3 linked regions of the Elephas maximus indicus genome follow. The main gene of each other region encodes a partner of the protein of the gene in region 3 in a complex. Links are inferred from orthologs where the notes say so. Each region holds a gene or a part of one and is shown on either strand. Other genes may lie near its edges. The genes, in order: BMP7, BMP2 and NOG.

Region 1 (6,986 bases), on a different chromosome or scaffold from region 3:
TTTTGCTCCCTGCTCCACAGGCCCTGTGCACTGGCTGGTCCCTCTGCCTGGAATGCCTGTCCCTCACTCAGGTCAATGACATCTGGGTCATTTAGTTTTTTCCGCCATCAGTACTCCTCTGACTTCCTCGTGGGGCCTGTCTGCCTCTCCTCTCACTCCAAGCCTTAATGAAGGTTCCTGGTCTGTCCCCTCACCTGAAAGCCATCTTCTTGATGGGGACCACTTCCTGGCCCACTCACGGCTCTATGCCTGGGTCCAATGCTGTCCCTGACACCAGGATGGCCACATAATTTGAGGGGTTCATGCAAAATGAAAATGAGGGACCCCTTGTTCATAGATGATCAGGAATGTCACGCAACAGCATTAAACTAATTGTATGGTTCACAGGTGGCCACCCTGTGGAGCCGCCCCCACCTGACACTCAGGAAGCACCCAACACACACTGAAGGAGTGAGTGGATACTGGCCAGTGGGCAGAGGCCCAGCCCGGGGAGGGGCCCAGGACCTGGCCTCTGTGGTAGTGGCCGTCTGGCCGGCTGGTGTCCACATGAATGACTAGGACCTTTGGTGAATAATAGCCGATCTAAGGCAAATTTCCAAGATGTGGAGATAACTCATATCTCCACCTCCCACTTCATTCTTTGGCCACCAGCCACCCACATGGCACTTTCAGACTGTAACCACCCAGAAGGGGGTCTCCACAAGTTAGAACTCTGTCCATCCAGCCCTTGCCAAATAGGCAAACGCCAGCCTCTCTGCTGGCTCTCACTGTCCGCAGTGGGTTTGATAATTCCCTAGAATGACTCGAAGAAACTATTACCTGTACTTACAGTTACCCCTTTATCATAGTGAGAAAGGCTACAAAGCGTTGCGATGTATCAGGCAAGGTCTGGGCGAGGCGTGGGCTGGAGGCTCTATTGTCCCCATGGACGTGCTGTGCCCTCTCCCCTGCGGGGATGCTCTTACCAATCCCAAAAGCCCCAAAGAGAGCACTGGAAGGACCAGAGTCCCCTAGTCATTGGGATCTCAGTGAATATGCATGACTGGAGCCTTGATGTGTTGTAGGTCCCGTCAAGTTGGTTCTGACTCACAGTGACCCCATGTACCACAGAGCGAAATGCTGCCTGGTCCTGCACTGTCCTCATAATCGTTCTGTTTGAGCCCACCGTTGTAGCCACTGTGTCAACCCATCTCCTGGAGGGTCTTCCTTCTTTTCACTGACTTTACCAAGCACCATGTCCGTCTCCAGGGACTGGTCCCTCCTGATAACATGTTCAAAGTATGTGAGATGAAGTCTTGCCATCTTCACTTCTGAGAGCACTTTGGCTATACTTCTTCCAAGACAGACTTGTTTGTTCTTTTCGCAGTCCATGGTATATTCAATATTCTTTGCCAACATCATAATTCAAAGGCTTCCGTTCTTCTTCCGTCTTCCTTATTCATTGTTCAGCTTTTGCATGCGTATGAGGCGATTGAAAATATCATGGCTTGGGTCAGACGCACCTTAGTCCTCAAAGTGACATCTGTGCTTTTTTAACACTTTGAAGAGGCCGTTTGCAGCAGATTTGCCCAATGCAATATGTCATTTGATTTCTTGACTGCTGCTTCCGTGGGCGTTGACTGTGGATCCAAGTAAAATGAAACACCAAGCATGAGGTCCTCTTCCTGGTGGTGGTCCCTCCTGATAACACGTCCGAAGTAAGTGAGACCAATCAGACCCTGCCATTCTAGTTTCTAAGGAGTCTTAATGCAGAGTTAGGGTAGAGCCAATCCATGAATACACTTGCAGTCAAGGGGTGACCTGTGTAGCCCCCTATTTATATATACTTATTTAAGTTTGGCCTGGCTGTTTCAGAAGGACAAAGGGCACCTTTGTTACTCAGGTTATTTTAAAAAACCAGAGGCAAAAAGCCAAATGAAGTTCTTTGTCCCACAGATCTGCAGGCTTGCATATCTCTTCTCCTGGCTGGGCCTCTCCTCTCTCCACCCATGTGACCCCTTAGGCTGCCATCTTGTCCAAAAGCCCCCAGAGACCCAGAGGGCTGCATGGCAGATCTGCTCTGCTCAGGAGAACTGGAGAAAACCTGGCTCCTGGGAGTGTCTCTCACCAGCCCTCCTGCCTCAGGAAGGACCAGCCTGGTGGCTTTCTCCAGCCCTTCAGGGGGGTCAGCTAGGCCCCTAGCAGAAGCCTCCTTCCCCAAACTCAGCCTAAACTTTGTCTGGGTTCCCTGGTGACCCTCCACCTACCCTTGTATGGGAATCAGTGGTTTGTTTGTTGGCCTCCTTGGGACAGCCCTTGGGGGGGGGCATGGTCCTCACTGCCACTGGGACAGCCCCTGGCGGGGGGCATGGTCCTTACTGCCACTCTGAGTAAGGGGTTATTTTGCACCCATTTTAAAGATAAGGAAACCGAGGCTCCAAAGTGTAGTGATCACTGAAGTTCCCTCAGCTGGCAGAGGGGACCCGTAGGCTGTAGTGGTCTGGGGGCAGCGGTCAGCCGGGCACACCATGGGCAGCTTAGTAATATTTGTGGAAGGAAGAGTGAGAGGCAGGAGAAGGACAGAGGCAGAGTAGCGGGCGGGTGAGGTAAACTGCAACAGTAATTCCAGACAGCCAGAGAGCTCAAGAAAATAAAACGAGTGCGTGGGGGTGAGGAGGGAGGCAGCCTTAGCTTTGCTGGCTTGGGAAGGTCTCTGGGAGGCAGTGGCCGCTGAATAGGGACCTGGTGGTGGAGAGTCTTCTACCTGGGGAGAGACTGAGGGCATTGGTGTTGGGGAAGAGTTTCTAAAAACAAAACCTGCTCTCAACTTAGAAAGCCTCTGCACAACAATGGAAGAGACAGAAGAGTTTTATTCTTGAATAAGCACTGAACCCAAATGGGATGCATCACAGGCAATCAGTCCAGGAGAGAAATTGCCAAGACAAAGGAATCCGAGGCTTTAGAGAACTGAGTGGATACAGCCCATTACATTCACGTTAAAGATAAAATTGCTAATTTTCCAGTGTCTTCGTGGCAGGACACCTAAAGTTATGTTAATCTCCTTCCAGGAAACTGGGAGGGAGGGGTGTGAACTTCCTTGATGATTACATTTCAAAAGATGTCTCCCAGGTCCTTGAGAAACATTTTTTTTTTTTAATTTTTAATTGTGCTTTAAGTGAAAGTTTACAAATCAAGTCAGTCTCTCATACAAAAATTTATATACACCTTGCTATGTACTCCTAATTGCTCTCCCCCTAGAGAAACTTATTTGATTTACATACTTTTCGGAAAGACAAAGATCCAACCATTACGAGTTATCTAAAGTGAATTCTGCAAGAACAGGGGAGCCTGGTCCCCTGTCTTCTGCAGAGAATGAAAACCTCCTATTTTCAGTTTGTATTTATTTGTCCTTACAGAGGGCGGGGGCGAGGGTCAGGGGGAGTTTCAGGTGGCCAAAGTTAAGCTGTGGACAAGTCTGGGGGGGTGCGGCGGGTCCGCGTGGTTGGAGTGAGGAAAGCCAGCGAGTGTGTCGGAGGGGGGCAAACGGACGAGTCGGGCTCAGGGGCACCTCCTCTGAGAAGTCCTCTCCGATTCCCGCGCTTCCTCCACGCCCCTCCCGCCGCTCAGCTTCTGCCCCCGCTGCCCAGATCCTTGGGTCCGGCTGAGGTCTCCTTCCCTGTTCGGACTACGAGCCCCGAGAGGGCAGGGCCGGGTGGGCGTCTTTCCTCCCCAGGCCGGCGGCGTCTGGCCTGGCGCTGGGCACCCTGTGGGCACTTGGTCAATATTTGTCGAGCGCGCTGGAAGGGTTGAATGAATCCATTGGGCGCAGCAGGGGGGAGGGCGGGGCCGAGGCAGGTGGGAGGCCGCCGGCGCGGGAGGGGCCCCTGGAAGCCCGCCCTCCTCCTCCTCCTCCTCCTCCCAGGCCCCAGCGCGTTCGCTCTGGGGCTCCCGAGGCGTCTTCTCGTGCGATCAGGGGCGCGCAGGGCGGGGAGAGAGATCCTGGGGCCCTGCTCTCGGCGCCGGAGGTCGAAAGCGGGTGGGTCGCTGTCGCCGGATTGGAGAGCGCTCTCGAAAGGAGTGGGAGGAAGGAGCGCCCGCCCGCCGCCTCCCCAGCGCTCGCTCTCCAGGCTCGGAGGTTTGCGGCTGCTCCTCCCACCCGCGCCAGGCTCCTCGCTCGCTGGAGCGGGTCTCCAAGCCCCGCCGTGCGCCCAAGCGAGTGCAGGGCTAGGGGCCCCGGAGCCAGCCCGAGTCGGGGTGGGGGTCCGGGCAGCGCACAGCCGGCCGGGGAGGGGCCATGTCCGGCGCGGGTGCAGCGGGGCCCATCTGCAGCAAGTGACTGAGCGTCGTGGACGCCGCTGCCCCCCTCCGCCACCTGGGGCGGCGCGGGCCCAGGTGCCCGGAGCCCAGTGCCCTGGCCGCGCGGAGAGCCGGCGCGATGCACGTGCGCTCGCTGCGCGCCGCGGCGCCCTCCAGCTTCGTGGCGCTCTGGGTGCCCCTGCTCCTGCTGCGCGCCGCCCTGGCCGACTTCAGCCTGGACAACGAGGTGCACTCGAGCTTCATCCACCGGCGCCTCCGCAGCCAGGAGCGGCGGGAGATGCAGCGCGAGATCCTCTCCATCTTGGGCTTGCCCCACCGCCCGCGCCCCCACCTCCAGGGCAAGCACAACTCGGCGCCCATGTTCATGTTGGACCTGTACAATGCCATGGCGGTGGAGGAGGGCGGCGGGTCCGACAGCCAGGGTTTCTCCTACCCCTACAAGGCAGTCTTCAGCACCCAGGGCCCCCCTCTGGCCAGCCTGCAAGATAGCCACTTCCTTACTGACGCCGACATGGTCATGAGCTTCGTCAACCTCGGTGAGTGCGGGCAGGAGGAAGGGGGAGCACGCCTCGGCTGGGGGGCGCCTTGCAACAGGGAGGGGGGTGACTTTTTACATCTAGCCTCCCACCTTTCCGCTCGGCGGGTTTCACAGCGGTCAGTGCCTGGCTGAGAGTCTTCTACCTCCGGCCCTAGTGGAGCCCAAACTGTGCTCGCCCCCAGGTAGTGTGAGGCAGGCTCAGCTGGCCTGTGGATGTTATTGAAAGTGTAGAGACCCGCCCGAAGCCCCCTTCTGGTTACGCCGCCGGACGCACCTCTGGGGCAGCAGGCGCCGGCCCTGGTCGCGGCTGAGTTCAAAGCGCGGGGCTCGGTCATGTGAGCTGTCCCTGGCCGGCTCGGCGCTCGCTACCTGGATTTAAAGGGCCCTTCTTGGAGAAGCTGCCTTCCCGCCCGCCCTCGGCCCCGCGCACCCTGCCTGGCCCTGGCCTCCGGTGCAGCGCGACCCGTTCCCCGCTCTGGCAAGCCCTACCTGTCCCTTCGCGGTGCGCCCGCCTTCCCGTGCCGCGCGCCTGGGGAGCCTGGGGGCCTCTCCCCGCCGCCGGCGCCCCCCTCTCTTGGTCTTCCTGCCGGAGCCAGGGAAGAAACGTTGCCATTGCGAACTTTCTATTTTAAATATTTAATGATAGGTCCCGGGCAGGCAGAATCCATTTTCAGCGTTTATCACGTGTGGCGCTCAAACCACCGGTTTTGGCGATTGGGCGGCGCGGGATCTCGGAACAGACGCCGCTGGGGGCGGCGGGGGGACAGGGCTCCCGATGAAGCCTCTCCTGTCCGGGGAACGAGGTGGGGCTGCGGCGGTGCCCCGCGGCGCCCTCCATGGCATCCCCGCATGATTACCAAACTCGCTCAGACTAATCCCGGGCCGCGCGCTGTAGGACCGATGATCAAATATTTGGTTTCCGAGATAACACAGCCCGATAGCGCTGTTTCCTGAGCCGCTTTCATTCTACCTGTGTAACTTGCAGGGAAAATCCGAGCAGAGTCAAGACAGCAAACTTCCGCCCACCGGCGCAGTGTCAACTTGGAAATAATGACCCTAAATCCCCACGCCGGCCACCTGGGGAGTGGACGGGGGCGGGGAAGTGGGGATCCGCGTGAGGGCTTCCCGCCTCTGATAAGGTCGGCGGAGTCCAGGGGACGCCATTGTCCACCCTAAATGATAGCCCAACTCACATAGCGAAATGCGCTTCAGCGAGCAAGGAGTGGGAGGTTTAGATGGCAAAATAACATTTAAAAAGTTGAAGTTATACGAGGCAGCCTGTTGAGAACGAGGCAGCTCCTTATGCCCTGATTGGAACAATCTCTAAGATGTACGGGGTGGAAACAAGCCAGGTCCAGATCAGTGAGCCTACATACATGTTTGTATATCGTCCATGTTCTAGCAGAAGACTCCGTGAACTGGAAATAAATTTTACGGGGGGGGGGGGGGAGGGGAGGGGCAGAACTGGGACTGGGACATAAGGGGGGGAGTCGGGTTTTTCAATGTCCTCACTTTTGCCTGTGACTTTTTTCTTGCCGTGTGTGTTTATTGTCTGTACCAAAAACTAAAAAACAATTCTAAAAATAAGAATAAACGGAAGTGGCACTCTATAGCAGTACTGATTCCCGGGTTAACCAGGGCCTTCTCTCTGGCTGGGATTTATGGCATCTGCTGTTGGGTTGGGTATCCGGGACTCCCAATGCTGCAGGTCCCAGCTGCCGCCTTCAGAGATCAGCCGGGGTCATTACAAAGGCATTTGGGAGCCCTGGCTTCTGTAGAGGGCTCTGCAAACCCATGCAAAAAGCTCTAATGCTTAGTGACTGGCAACTCGGCCAGATCCTGGGGCCCCCCCACCCCAGGGGAGGAGCGGTTTGCTCACTGGATGCCTTTGGGAACTGGGGGCAGGGCTGTTTGCTCCCGTGGGTGGTGGGAGCAAGCCAGGACTCGCCTGGGAAGGCCACAGCTGGGTGGTTTTCCTTCTGGCTGTGCACACACCTTTCAACCCCGCTAGTCCCATTTCTTTCATCTTGAAAGGACAAAGACCGGCTTGTCTGAGCCTCTCAATCAGCTGGGCTGGCTTTGGGCTTTGTGGGACAGCCTTGCCTAAATTTCTCAGGTCTAGCTTTCTGGAACATCGCTCCAAATTAGATGG
Region 2 (7,121 bases), on a different chromosome or scaffold from region 3:
CCAGTCCCTGGAGGACATTATGCTTGTTAAAGTAGAGGGTCAGTGAAAAAGAGGAAGACCACAAGGAGATGGGTTGACACAGTGGATGAAGCAATAGGATCAAATATAGCAACGATTGTGAGGATGGTGCAGGACCGGGCAGTGTTTCATTCTGTTGTACATTGCTATGAGTCAGAATCGACTGCTTGGCACCTAACAACAACTACAGTAATAAATCACTTCTACCCCAGTCCCAACCTCTACAACCTCTATCTGCTACAGATACACAGAATCTGATAAACCTAGATAGAATGAATCTTACCTTCTTAGCTGAAGTGATATTTTCAAAGCAAACAGTCACCACAAAATGACAGTATTCTGAGTTGCAGGTGGAGGGTGGCTACTAAATAAACAGAATAAAACAGGTAGATATCTCCAACTAGATTCGTCGTTTTTAAGTATTGTTGTGTCCTCGAATAGGAAAACTGGTAGGTATGGTCATCCTGTACATTGCACTGCAAGTCAGTCTTTGGAGACCATTCATTCATTCATTCATTCATTGATTTCTTTCACCCAAGCGCTCTGACTCATTTCCACCACAAGAGGGCAGCCATCTCTAAAAAACAAATAGAGCCTTACTCTTAGGAGAAATTTAGGGAGCTGTGCTAGGACAAAGGCATTCAGCAGCCTGCCTCGTAAAAAGAGATCCTGCGATGGGCAATACTAAAATGGAATAGAGTATTCAGAAGTGCCAATTTTACCTCAGATTCTTGACTATGGAGGATTATTCTGTAAACAAAGTTTCCATTTCTGATGCTATAAAGGCCTAAAGCTGCAAGACATCCCGATGTCATCGCCAGAGATTTATTTTTCTTTTTCTCTTGGGGTGCTTCCAACAGCTATCAGCTTTCCTTTACTCTTTAAAAACTATGTACTGATCTAAGTCTCATATACGTTTTGTTTTTTAAATCTCACTGATGACAGGAACAATTGTTAACTTCTCAGTTAAGCTTGATAAAAAAAATAGGGAAGGAAATAGTTTTAGAAGTACAATAAACACTTTTTGACTTAAGCGTCCCTGAGTACAATATAATTTATTGCCTACTTGTTTAACCTCCAAATGATTCAGGCGGACAGTCAACTTCTTTAGTTCTTTATTTTCAAGTAGCTTGTTCCTGAATATTTTGCACCCCTTTTCTTTTTCTTTTTTTTTTTTTCCTAGTAAACCGACTTCCTCCAAAATACCTTACTTGACCTTTATACCTTCAGAAACAACGAGTGCCTAATTCCCCCTCTGTGGGTTGCTAATCCGATTTATGTGAGCGGAACCTAGAATTATTTTAGTTTCCTAACCAAAAAAAAAAAAAAAACACGCATGGATAACAGATTACTCTTAGATCCCGCACCTGACTTCTCTCTGGTCTTTCTGCTGGAAGGCAGGAAGACTACCTTGTAAATGAACCTGATTTTGGAGATCAGGCCTTTTTTCAGAATTTTCTGGCCCTTGGCTTCAAGGGTCATTTGGGGAATCCGTGGTGCTACCCGTGTGTGCTGGAATCCTGGCAGGAACCTAAAGCCTCGGCCCTAGACTCAAGTAGCAGCTGCTTTTGGGCGATATTTGAGCTGAAGAGGACAAGTGACTGTTGGGGACGAGGAGGAAGGGATGTTGGGGCAGAAGGTTCTAAGATCTCAAATCGGAATTGTCTTGTATGCCTAGTTCACGCTGTGCATCATTCTACTGTCCTCTGAGCTTCTAATTGCTGGCCCCTGAGCTGGGCGAGATAAATATCGCAGCACGAAGTGATTGCTACCATAAAAAAGAAATAAAATCCTTCTCATCCGCTCTTCAAGCCGCCATACACACAGCCCAAGTTGCACTTGTCATATATAGCAGGGTGACACCCATTTCACATACATAGACTAATTTATAGAAACGCCGCTTTTGCGTATGTTTACATATTAGAATATATATAAGCATATGGGCATGTATCTATATTTTGCATACCTATACGAATATAAAGAGGTGTACATTTATATAAATATAAATGTTTATATAAAATAAAACGTGTACGCACACATTTACATATGTAAATACATATATTTCCGTGCGTGTTAAGGTTTAAATAACAGTTTCCAGCCTCTCCCCTCCCCCACAAACACACACAGACACACACACACACACACACACACACGCTCGCTCACTCCCAGGCAACACTGAAGTGTCTATGCCATGCCTATGCCAAGATGCCCTGTAACTTGGCTGAGTTTTGGTTGTTGCTGTTGTTTTTTTAATCGCCTATTACCGAAAAACTTCAAATTTAAAGTTGAATAACGGGCCCCGTGGGAGAGAACCAGGGGCTCGAGCATTTCGCCCTCGGAGTCTCCGCGAGGGCCCAGCGTTCCCGTTCCTTTCCCCTCTGAGGGCGGGGAGTGGAGGCGCACGCGCCCCCCTCGGCGGCCGCGCTGCCTCCGCCCTCGGCCCCACCCCGCCGCGGCTGCCCCGGCGCGCCGTCCACACCCCTGTGCGCTGCTCCCGCCCGCTCGGGGATCCCCAGCCAGCGCAGCCGAGGGGGGAGGTGTTCGGCCGCGGCCCGGAGGGAGCCGGCAGGCGGCGTCCTTTAAAAGCCGCGAGCGCCGCGCCACGGCGCCGCCGCCGCCGCCGCCGCCGCCGGAGTCCTCGCCCAGCCGCGCCGCGCTGCGCCCGGCTCGCGCTGCGCCCGCCGCTCGGCTTCCCACACCCCGCCGGGGATTGGCCGCCACCGCCGGACATCAGCCGCCGCAGCCGATCCGAACGCCTTCGGGGACGTGCGCCGCGAGGATCACTGGGTGCTCGGAGGCATCCCCGCGCCGCAGAGCCCGCGCGGGCTGGAGCGCCCGGCCGTGCGCGCTACAGTGCCGTGGCCTCGGCTGTCCGGGCCGCACCGGAGCCGCGGACGGGCGCGCAGAAGGCTGGGGAGCCAGGAGCGGAGCTCGAGCGCCGCGATGCCGAGCACTGCCCGCCGGGGTTCGGGGGCCCGGGACTCGCCGGCCGAGGTGTGATCAGACCCCAGGCTGGCCACAAAGCGCAAGGCAGCTTGGCCCGGGGGGCTAGGAGAGCGAGAAAAGAGCGCAGCCACCCGCCTCGGCAGCCCGGGACTCTGCTCGATTCGCCGGAGAATGCGCCCGAGGACGACGGGGCGCCGGAGCCGTGGTGTTTTCAGCGGGCGAGCGTGAATGGGGGTGCGCTGGAGTAAGGCAGAGTGATGCGGGGGGGCAACTCGCCTGGCACCGAGATCGCCGCTGCCGCTGCGCCCCTCCCCGGACCCGGCGTCGACCAGGATGGCTGCCCCGAGTCATGGGCCGCGGCGGAGCTAGCGAGGAGCGCCCGACACTCCTCCCCCGCGTCCCGGAGTCGGCCCCGCGCGGGGCCACGCGTCCTGCGGGCGCTGATTCCTAAGGACGACAACAGCACCAGCTTTTCACTTCTCCCTTCCCTTCCTTGCCCCGCACTCCTCCCCCTGCTCGCTGTTGTTGTGTGTCAGCACTTGGCTGGAGACTTCTTGAACTTGCAGGCAGAATAATTTGCGCTCCCCACTTCGCCGGTGCCTCTGCCCCAGCGGGGACGGCCTTGTCGCCTCCGAGCCCCGCCGCCGCTCCACTCTTCTGCCGGGCCGGACCTCTAGACGCCGTTCCCAGCGCGGGGAGGGAGACTGACCGGCCGGCGCCCGGGAGGAGGAGGCAAAGGAAGGGAGCGGACACCCGACCCCCGCGCCAGGTTCTTTGGCCAGAGTTTTTTCCATGTGGAGGCTCTTTCAATGGACGTGCCCCCGCGTGCTTCTTAGACGGTCTGCGGTCTCCTAAAGGTAGAGGACGCGGTCCCGGGCGGAGGACGGGGGGTGGGCGCGGGGCTGGGCGCGGGGCCGCCGCGGCTGAGCGCCTCCCCAGGCCGGACTAGACCGGACATAAACAGACCCCCTTCAGGTCCACGTGCAGCCGAACCCCTGCCGGGGGTGCTCCAATCCAACCGCTTCTGGCGACCATCCAGCGTTGCCTGCGTGACCCGCTCTCTTCCGCCCCTCGTTTCTCCTTTCTGTTCGGTGTATAATTAGGGCTGTTAACGCTAAGATGATTAAAAAAAAAAAAGAAAGAAAAGAAATCCCTTAGACTGGCCCCTGGGTTTCACCCGTTAGCTGCCAACCTGTACGCCCTGCCATGATGATTCCTTCTCCCTTCTCCAAGTTTTTCCGAGAGATCTCTCTACTGGGAGCCACGTCCCATTTAGGAAAGCAGTGGAAGCTGGGGGTTCTCCCTGTTTCTTTCCGGAAAGCGAGGGGGGCAGTACTTCGGTGCCTCCTTGTACTGCATTTTCAACATCTGACACGTGAAGTAATAGATATTAGCCCTTTACGTAATCCCAGGGAGATGGCCTGTGTGTCTTGACTGCACTAAGGGTGTGCGGGGCTTGAGGTCGTTTGTCCTGACACCCTGAGGCTAGGGGCGTGGGCCATAAGTTTCAAGCGGCGTTCGAAAGTCTTGGCCTTGAATGTACAGGGTCTAGAAGTTATAGACTGTGTATCAGGAAGTTGTATACAGTGCCTCTAAGGAAGTCACATGCAGCATTTGTTCGTGTTTATAAGCAAGCGAGCGCTGGGCTGTGTTTGGGATCGTTTAGTAGGTACAGGGTGGCAGACCAAGGGGTGGTTTCCTCAGGTTCCCTGTGCCGGCTGTCAATGCGGGTGTCGCCATAAAGAGGGGAGCAAAATCTCAAATCAGATGACAGCTGGATTGAGAGTGGAATGGGAGGAGTAAGGCATCTGGCTCAGGAACTAGGGACGCTCCATTCCCTCAAACGTCCGCGCTTCAGCCCCTCTGACAAAGCCCGGCGAGTGTTGCAAGCCAGGTGGGCACCCTGGAGAAAGAGGCAGCCGGGTCGAGCGGGGAGCCAGGGCAGCGGGAGTGAGGGAGAGGGTTGGGCGGGGAACTCGGTGACTCACGTCGGTCCTGTCCGCAGGTCGACCATGGTGGCCGGGACCCGCTGTCTTCTAGCGTTGCTGCTTCCCCAGGTCCTCCTGGGCGGCGCGGCCGGCCTCATTCCTGAGCTGGCCCGCAGGAAGTTCGCGGCGGCGTGGGGCCGTTCCTCATCCCAGCCCTCGGACGACGTCCTGAGCGAGTTCGAGTTGCGGCTGCTCAGTATGTTCGGCCTGAAGCAGAGACCCACCCCCAGCAGGGACGCCGTGGTGCCCCCCTACATGCTGGACTTGTACCGCCGGCACTCAGGCCAGCCGGGCGCGCGCACCCCGGACCAGCGGCTGGAAAAGGCAGCCAGCCGCGCCAACACGGTGCGCAGCTTCCACCACGAAGGTGAGGCTTGGAACAGGGGGTGAGAGCGGGGACCGGGGCGGGAGTCACCCTGCAAAGCCCCTCACTGCAGGGCAGACTGCAGACATTCCTGGAGGGACAGCTTGGCCAGGGCGCAGCAGACGTTTCCACTCTTGCCTCTGTTAACTTTGTAACTTTTCAGATCCAAGTTTTAACGCACTGCTAATGCACTGTGTGTGGAGGGGAGCCAGGGATTCCCCTTTGGTAAATCCGCACCCTTTTCCTGGATTGCAGCCAGAAGGGCGACTCCTCCCCCAGGAACTGGAGGGAAATCAAGTGATGGGGAAGATGAGGGCAAAAGGCTTGCCCCTAGCCAGCTAAACATGCAAGAATTCCATAGGGGAAAAGAGGGAGACTGATTGGGATTTAAATTTGTTTTGAAACCCGGCTCTATCAGTCTGCTTCTCCTGTTTAAGCCAGGGTTTCAGGCTAGACAGAGCCAAAGGAAGAATTTTCAGAGATGGTATTAAAAATCAAAGCCCAGGGCCCCAGAGTCTTTCTAATTTACAGTTTTTGTGCGCCTAGTTTGGAAGATTTTGAATTTCTATCTAATCCCCGTGGGAGATCCATTCCACAATCAATCTTATTGTTTCCACAATGACTTTCTTGTCTTTTGCTTCAGTTGGAGGTAGGCTCAGGGTAGAGAAAGGCAAGCCTTTCAGATAAAAGCTTTTGCAGCAGCTGCCTGTTCTCCTTCGTGTGTATTGAAATGTGGCCTTTTTTTTCCCCTTTTATTATGAATGTGGTTTGTTAAGGTAGGTATTTCTGCACCTTTCCTCAGAAAGGCATTTAGAGGATCTGAAATGTCTTAGAGCAGTTATTGAGAGTTGTCGTACTTAAGTTCTTAGGGCAATTAGTCAAAAATTCTTTTTCCATACTTTTAAATGCCTCTCTGGTTTGATAAATTCTAAATAGAGCACGGATTCCTTCAAATTTTAGAAAAGGGTACGGAGTTGTATATCCCAGAGCAACCACTTGTAGGATATTGGGGGAGCTGGGAATAAAGTTCCCCTTTTCTTACCTTGTCCTACCGAGGAGGTATATTTCAAGTGGAAATCTACACTCAGATACAAACAAATCAGAAATGTCACAGGCAGACATTTTCTCCCCTCGTGAGTTATGACTTATACTCCGGACAGTGGTAAAAAGCCCCAAAGGCAGGTCAGAGAACAAAGTTCCTTCTTCGTAGAGGCATCTGTACATTAAAAAGGCACAGTTGTCATTGAGTCAGTGTCAGCTCACGGTGACCTCTTGTGTGTCACCGTAGAACTGTGCTCCGTGGAGTTTTTAATGGCTGAATTTTTCAGAAGTAGGTCAGCAGAACTCTCTTCCGAGTTGTTGCTGGGTGGACTTGAACCTCCAACCTTGCGGTCAGCAGTAGAGCACAATGTGTGCACCACCCAGGGACTCCCCTCTAGGAAGCAGCTGTGTTGATGATCAGTTCATTTCCAAACACATTTTGAAGTGACGCGCTTTCTGCTAGCAGAAATCAGAGATTTGCAAAGCAATGAGATCTCATCATTTCACCAACTGAGAGCAGAAGTCTGGCACGTGCAGAAATGTTGTCATTTGTGTATGTTCTGTCACCCTTGCCCTAGGATTGTTATAGATCCAGTCATCTTTCCTAGCTGATGCTGATCAGAAGAGTTTTTTCTGGAGAGGAAAGTAACAAGAATAGCTGTTGAGCTGCTTCCTGGAAATTTAACATGGAAATCTTAAACCGAAATTTCTTATCGTTATCTTTAAGACCAGAAAGGTTCTGTGTGCCTCTTATAATGGAAAAG
Region 3 (5,402 bases):
CTCATTTACTACACGGGATATTATAAAGAATAAATAGCAGATACTCTTAATTTACAATGATTAGTCATTCCATTTGTTCTCTATATTTACAATAACTGTAAAATAACATTGAACTCTATAGCTTCTTCGAGGTCCAAGGAAAACCAGAACACTTTCCAAAGAATGGAAAATAGCTTTTAAAAAGTCCTTCTACAAAAGTTCCCCTCTCTCTTTGTACTTTAAGAAAAAAATAACTTTTCCCCCCTGCTTCGCCATGCGAAGGGCACTGGAATATAAATAGCAGGTTAACATTATTAGCAACAACCAGAATAAGTCTCTCTTTTATCTGTTCTTTTTTTTTCTTTTGCTTATTTTTTAAAAAATACAGTAGAAGCCGGTAACTTTAACGTATAATACTGACCTTTTAATAAGTAAATTAAAACTGGGACCGTATATACACACACATATACATTCCTACACAGTTAAACAGTGCATTACATGAACCAGAAAGCTAGGTCTCTGTAGCCAAAAAAAAAAAAAAAAAAAAGTTCATTGAATCCACTCTCAAGGGTGGTGGAACTGGTTGGAGGCGGTGGCTGGGGGCGTCGGTGGGGGTCAATCAAGTGTCTGGGTGCGGGCAGGGGGCCCCCGAGTTCTAGCACGAGCACTTGCACTCGGAAATGATGGGGTACTGGATGGGAATCCAGCCGCATCGCTGGCCCCCGCGCCGCTGACAGCGCCACCGCAGCACCGTGAGGTGCACAGACTTGGACGGCTTGCACACCATGCCCTCGGGCACGGAGCACGAGCGCTTGCTGAAGCAGCTGCCCACCTTCACGTAGCGCGGCCAGAAGCGGCTGCCCAGGTCGTTCCACGCGTACAGCACGGGGCAGAAGGTCTGCGACCACAGCCACATCTGTAGCTTCCTCCGCAGCTTCTTGCTTAGGCGTTGCTTCTTGCCCGGGGCCAAGCCCTCGGAGAACTCCAGCCCTTTGATCTCGCTCGGCATGGCCCCGGACGGCCGCTGCCGCAGCAGCTGGTCCAGCTCCGCCAGGTCCTCGGCGCCACCGGCCACCCCCCCGCCCCCGCCGGGCCGGTCCTCGGGGGGCGAGGTGGCCATGAAGCCCGGGTCGTAGTGGCCCCCGAGCAGCGAGCGCAGCAGCGTCTCGTTCAGATCCTTCTCCTTGGGGTCAAAGATAGGGTCCGGGTGTTCGATGAGGTCCACCAGGGGCAGGTTGTCGCTGGGAGCTGGGCGGATGTGGAGGTAGTGCTGGCCGCCGGCCGGTGCCGCCCGCAGCCCCAGGACCACCACCAGGGCGTAGAGGGTGACCCCCAGGCTGGGGCAGCGCTCCATGCCTCCGGCGTGCGCCCGGGGCTGCTACTTCGTCCCGCGTCCCCGGAGGAGAGCACGCCGAGCCCGCGGCGCCGCCGCCGCGCTCCCCGGGCTCTCCCGAGGCGGCTCACCCTAGGCTGGGCAGGCGCAGGGCCGGCAGCATGAGCCGCGGGGAGAGACCTTCGCTCCGAGCCGGCTCCCACCGGCGCAGAAAAAAGGCACACAAGTTGGCTGCAACTCCTCTCCCAGGTCTATTCGGGAAGGCGGCCGCGGCGGGGCATCTGAAATTACTCCAGGGAGACCGCGGGGCGCGGGGGGCGCCGGCTCCTCGCTGCCTTCCCGGGCCGGCGGCGGCGCAAGGCGCGTGGACGAGCCGTCTCCCCTCCTCCTCCTCCTCCTGCTCCTGGTCCTGCCGCTCTCTGCAGCGCCGCTGGCCGAGCGGGTCCCGGGGGCACTCCCCTCCGCCTGCTCCGGGCTCCGCGGCCGGCTCTGCCCGGCGGACTCCAGCGGCGGCGGCGACGGCGGCGGCGGCGTCCGCGCACGTTGGCACCGGTTTGTCTGTCTCGCAGGGTCCAAGCCTTTAAATTTCCTGCACTTTCAGCTCCATCACCATGGAAACCACTGACTCTCTCGGCGTTGCCCCCTCCCCCTTCTTCCCCCCAAACAACAACCCCACCCCCCACTTCTCCACCCCCAAGGAGCTGGAGCAGCGCAGGCTCCCGGGGAAGCCGCCTGCACTCGCCGCGGAGGCGGCGGCGGCGGCGGCTTCGGCAGCGCCCAGGGCTGTGCCCCGCCGGACCCAGATGCCCCGGGAAGCCGACAGTCCGGCTGCCCGCCCGAGCTCACAGGCGGCGGCGGCGGCGGCGGTGGCGGCGGCGGTGGCGCTTGGCAGGTCTCCGCGCAATTTTCTCTCACCCCCACCACCCACCCCCCTTCTCCTCCTTCTCCTCCTGCAAAATGCACCGCCCCCCTCCTTTCTCCTGGAGCAATGCAACTGGGGCTCTAGGCGCCCCGCCAGAGCCAGTCCTGGGGAGAGCTCGCGGCGGCGCTGGAGCCCGGCTGGAGGGTGCAGGGCCGGCTTTGGGGGGTGCTTGAGGTGGGGCGGGGGTTGCTCACTAGCTGGGTGCTTTGCACTGGGAGGGGAGCAGCGGGGAAGTGCCGGGGGCTCCTTTCTCGGTGCAGTTTGGAGGAAGGGATTTCTCCATGTGCATGGAGCGTTTTCCCCGGGCGCGTCTCGTCTTCCTCTCTCCCGGGCTCGGTCTCAGTCCCTTCCCCCAACACACACACACACACACACACACACACACCACACACACACACACACACACACACTGTGGGTCCTCTGTCCCTCACCCTTGCCCCCGCTCCCCCCGCACAAACTGTGCGCCCCGAGAGTCCGCGAGCCGCAGCGCTGCGCTGTGTGATGTAATTCCTAGGAAGCACTCCGGCTCGTCTGCCCCCCGGGCCCACGAGGGGGGTCCGCTCCTCACCCTCCTCCTCCTTCTTGGCCGGGTCCTGCGCCCTGAGTGGCGGAGCCGTAGGGGCGCGTCCGGCTTGTCTGCTGCTCCCCTAGCCCGCTCGGCTCCGTGCGGCAGCCTCTCGGCTCCCTGGGGGCGGCGCGCCCTCTGCTGGCCCATGGCAAGCCCTGCACCCGGTGATAGGAGGGGCGGCACTGTGAGGTGGTGGGTTTGTCCGTGGCCCATTCTGCCCAGGTCGCGTTGTTTCTGTGTCCGTGTCATCTCGTGTCTTTGAATGTCTGCGTGTGTCGAAGGGTCCGTTCAGGTTCTGGCTGTTCTCTGGACTCTCTCCAAACCCTCAGTGTAAACAAACTTCCTGAGATTCCTCTCCATGCCCTTCAAATTTCACATGCATAGGTGCCCACTTTCTCCGCTAAACCGGCCTCAGTGGTGAAGACTGGGGAGCAGAAACTTGACAGATGAACGGACAGTAGGGGGCTTGAGTCCAGCCTGACATAACCATGTTAACCCTGGACCGGTGCCTTTTCTTCTACAGATCTTAGTTTCTGCACTAGTGACATAGCTACATTACCTTTTCCAGCCCTACCTTGCTCTGATTCTGAATAAACCTATATGAGGCTTTCTTTTTCAGAAATGTTCTCTTTGGTGGAAGATGGGTGCTGAAATGACACCTCTGGTTGAGTTTCTCTCTGAAATCCAAACTCCTTTGTGGATCAGAATTGGAAAAAGCCCTTGAAGAGACTTGGAGTGAATGACTCAGGCATCCACTACTATTCGGCTGAGTGAGACTCAGGAGATCCCTTTGTGACAGTCTACATTACTCCACTTTCTTTCTCCAGTGATCTGATTTTTCCTTTCAGTCTGCTCTGCCCTCCCCTCAAATACACACAGAACTTTACCATCTCCTAAGGAAGTGGTGTCTGTGGTTCAGCGGGAGGTTCTCCCCTTCCATGTGAGACCTGGGTTCGATTCCTGGCCAAGGCACCTCATCTGTCAGTGGCGGCTTGTGGGCTGCTGTGATGCTGAACAGGTTGCAGTGGCGCCTCCAGACTAAAGGCTAAGTGACCAGGCAACGTTTCCTTCCGTTGTGCATGGGGTCCCCTTGAGCCCAAGGCCAACTCAGTGACAGCTGACAACAATGAAGAAGATGTACTTGGGTTATGGCACAGTCTATATGCAAAATCCCAGTACTTGGAAATCCCTCAGCAAGAACACTTCCTTAAACTTTCAAGTCTAGACAACAACTAGATTTAGGCTACCGAGGTACCTACCACCCAAAAAGAAAATCTTGCTTTGATGAATACTGTAGATAAGAACGACCCATTCGTTGTTTGAATTGGGCTGATTATGAAATAATATGTGCCTGGATCCTGGCACATAGTAGGTTGCTTGAACGACACTCCTTTATTTTCCATGCACTTTATGGAGGCTTGGAGTCCTGGTGGTGCAGTGGGTAAGAGCTTCAGGTGCTAACCGAAAGGTGGCAGTTTGAATCCACCTCTCCTTGGAAACCCTAGGAGGCAGTTCTGCTTTGTCATAAAGGGTCGCTATGAGTTGGAATTCACTTGACAGCAATGAATTTGTTTGTTTTAAATGGATGCTTAGCACTATTTTGATTTCTTATGAAGATATTGATGCTATAAATTAAAAAAATAATTTTTCAGTGAAGAGTTCAAAGACTATATTTTAGCCCAGCGCATAAACTGTGCTGTTTTCTATTCTACCAATCTTCGTCTTCTTCAAATCACCTATTTTTGTTTGAAAATCAACCCAGACCTCTGTCCTTTATTTAGGCTGGGTAGTCTCGACTGAAAGGAGCCCTGGCGGTGCAAACGGTTAAGTGCTCAGCTGCTAACCGAGAGGCTGGCATTTCAAACCCGCTGGTAGCTCCGCAGGAGAAAAGACTTGGCCATCTGTTCCCATAAAGATTATTGTTTTTGTTAGGTGCCATCGAGACAGTTCTGACTCATAGAGACCCTATGTACAACAGAGGAAAACACTACCAGGTCATATGCCAGCCTACAGTCATTGCTATGCTTGAGTCCATTGTTGGAACTACTGTGTCAGTCCATCGAGGGTCTTCCTCTTTCTTGCTGATCCTTTCCTTTACCAAGCATGATGTCCTTCTCCAGTGACTGATCCCTCCTAATAACATGTCCAGAGTATGTGAGACAAGGTCTCTCCAACCTCATGTCTGAAGAGCATTCTGGCTGTACTTCCTCCAGGACAGATTTTTTTTGTTCTTCTGGCAGTCCATGGTATATTCAATATTCTTCACCAACACCACAATTCAAAGGCATCAGTTCTTCTTCGGTCTTCCTTATTCATTGTCCAGCTTTCATGTTCATACGAGATGCTTCAAAATACCATGGCTTGGGTTAGGTGCATCTTAGTCCTTCAAGTGACATCTTTGCTTTTTAAAACTTTAAAGAGGCCTTTTGCAGCAGATTTGCCCAACGTAGTATGTCTTTTGATTTCTTGACTGCAGCATCCACGGGTGTTGATTGTGGATTCAAGTAAAATGAAATCCATGGCAACTTCAATATTTTCACTGTTTACCATGATGTTCCATAAAGATTACAGCCTAGGAAACCCTATGGGGCAATTGTACT

What was found.
Region 1: the proteins of NOG (region 3) and BMP7 are in contact, whole or in part, in a crystal structure (PDB 1M4U), measured with the Homo sapiens proteins. The link is inferred for Elephas maximus indicus from reciprocal best matches to the Homo sapiens genes NOG and BMP7. Residues at the interface, in NP_005441.1 of Homo sapiens: His29, Tyr30, Leu31, His32, Ile33, Arg34, Pro35, Ala36; in NP_001710.1 of Homo sapiens: Phe365, Pro366, Leu367, Asn368, Ser369, Asn375, Ile378, Val379.
Region 2: the proteins of NOG (region 3) and BMP2 are in contact, whole or in part, in a crystal structure (PDB 7AG0), measured with the Homo sapiens proteins. The link is inferred for Elephas maximus indicus from reciprocal best matches to the Homo sapiens genes NOG and BMP2. Residues at the interface, in NP_005441.1 of Homo sapiens: Ile33, Arg34, Pro35, Ala36, Pro37, Ser38, Asp39, Asn40, Pro42, Leu43, Val44, Asp45, Leu46, Ile47, His49, His199, Arg204, Arg206, Pro219, Ile220, Gln221, Tyr222, Pro223; in NP_001191.1 of Homo sapiens: Trp310, Asp312, Trp313, Val315, Ala316, Pro317, Pro318, Gly319, Tyr320, Ala368, Ile369, Ser370, Met371, Leu372, Tyr373, Lys379, Val380, Val381, Leu382, Lys383, Asn384, Tyr385, Gln386, Met388.

The regions. Positions count from the first base shown.
Region 1 is NC_064843.1:11,987,620-11,994,605, forward strand, and holds the start of BMP7 (bone morphogenetic protein 7), read left to right. Parts: upstream 1-3,905; 5' UTR 3,906-4,414; coding exon 4,415-4,832; intron 4,833-6,986. UniProt on the Homo sapiens protein: Growth factor of the TGF-beta superfamily that plays important role in various biological processes, including embryogenesis, hematopoiesis, neurogenesis and skeletal morphogenesis.
Region 2 is NC_064843.1:45,258,348-45,265,468, forward strand, and holds the start of BMP2 (bone morphogenetic protein 2), read left to right. Parts: upstream 1-4,082; 5' UTR 4,083-4,754; coding exon 4,755-4,858; intron 4,859-4,969; coding exon 4,970-5,319; intron 5,320-7,121. Other genes in the region: serine/arginine repetitive matrix protein 3-like, read left to right, coding at 2,304-3,212. UniProt on the Homo sapiens protein: Growth factor of the TGF-beta superfamily that plays essential roles in many developmental processes, including cardiogenesis, neurogenesis, and osteogenesis. Induces cartilage and bone formation.
Region 3 is NC_064837.1:37,473,462-37,478,863, forward strand, and holds NOG (noggin), read right to left. Parts: upstream 1,461-5,402; 5' UTR 1,334-1,460; coding exon 635-1,333; 3' UTR 559-634; downstream 1-558. UniProt on the Homo sapiens protein: Inhibitor of bone morphogenetic proteins (BMP) signaling which is required for growth and patterning of the neural tube and somite. Essential for cartilage morphogenesis and joint formation.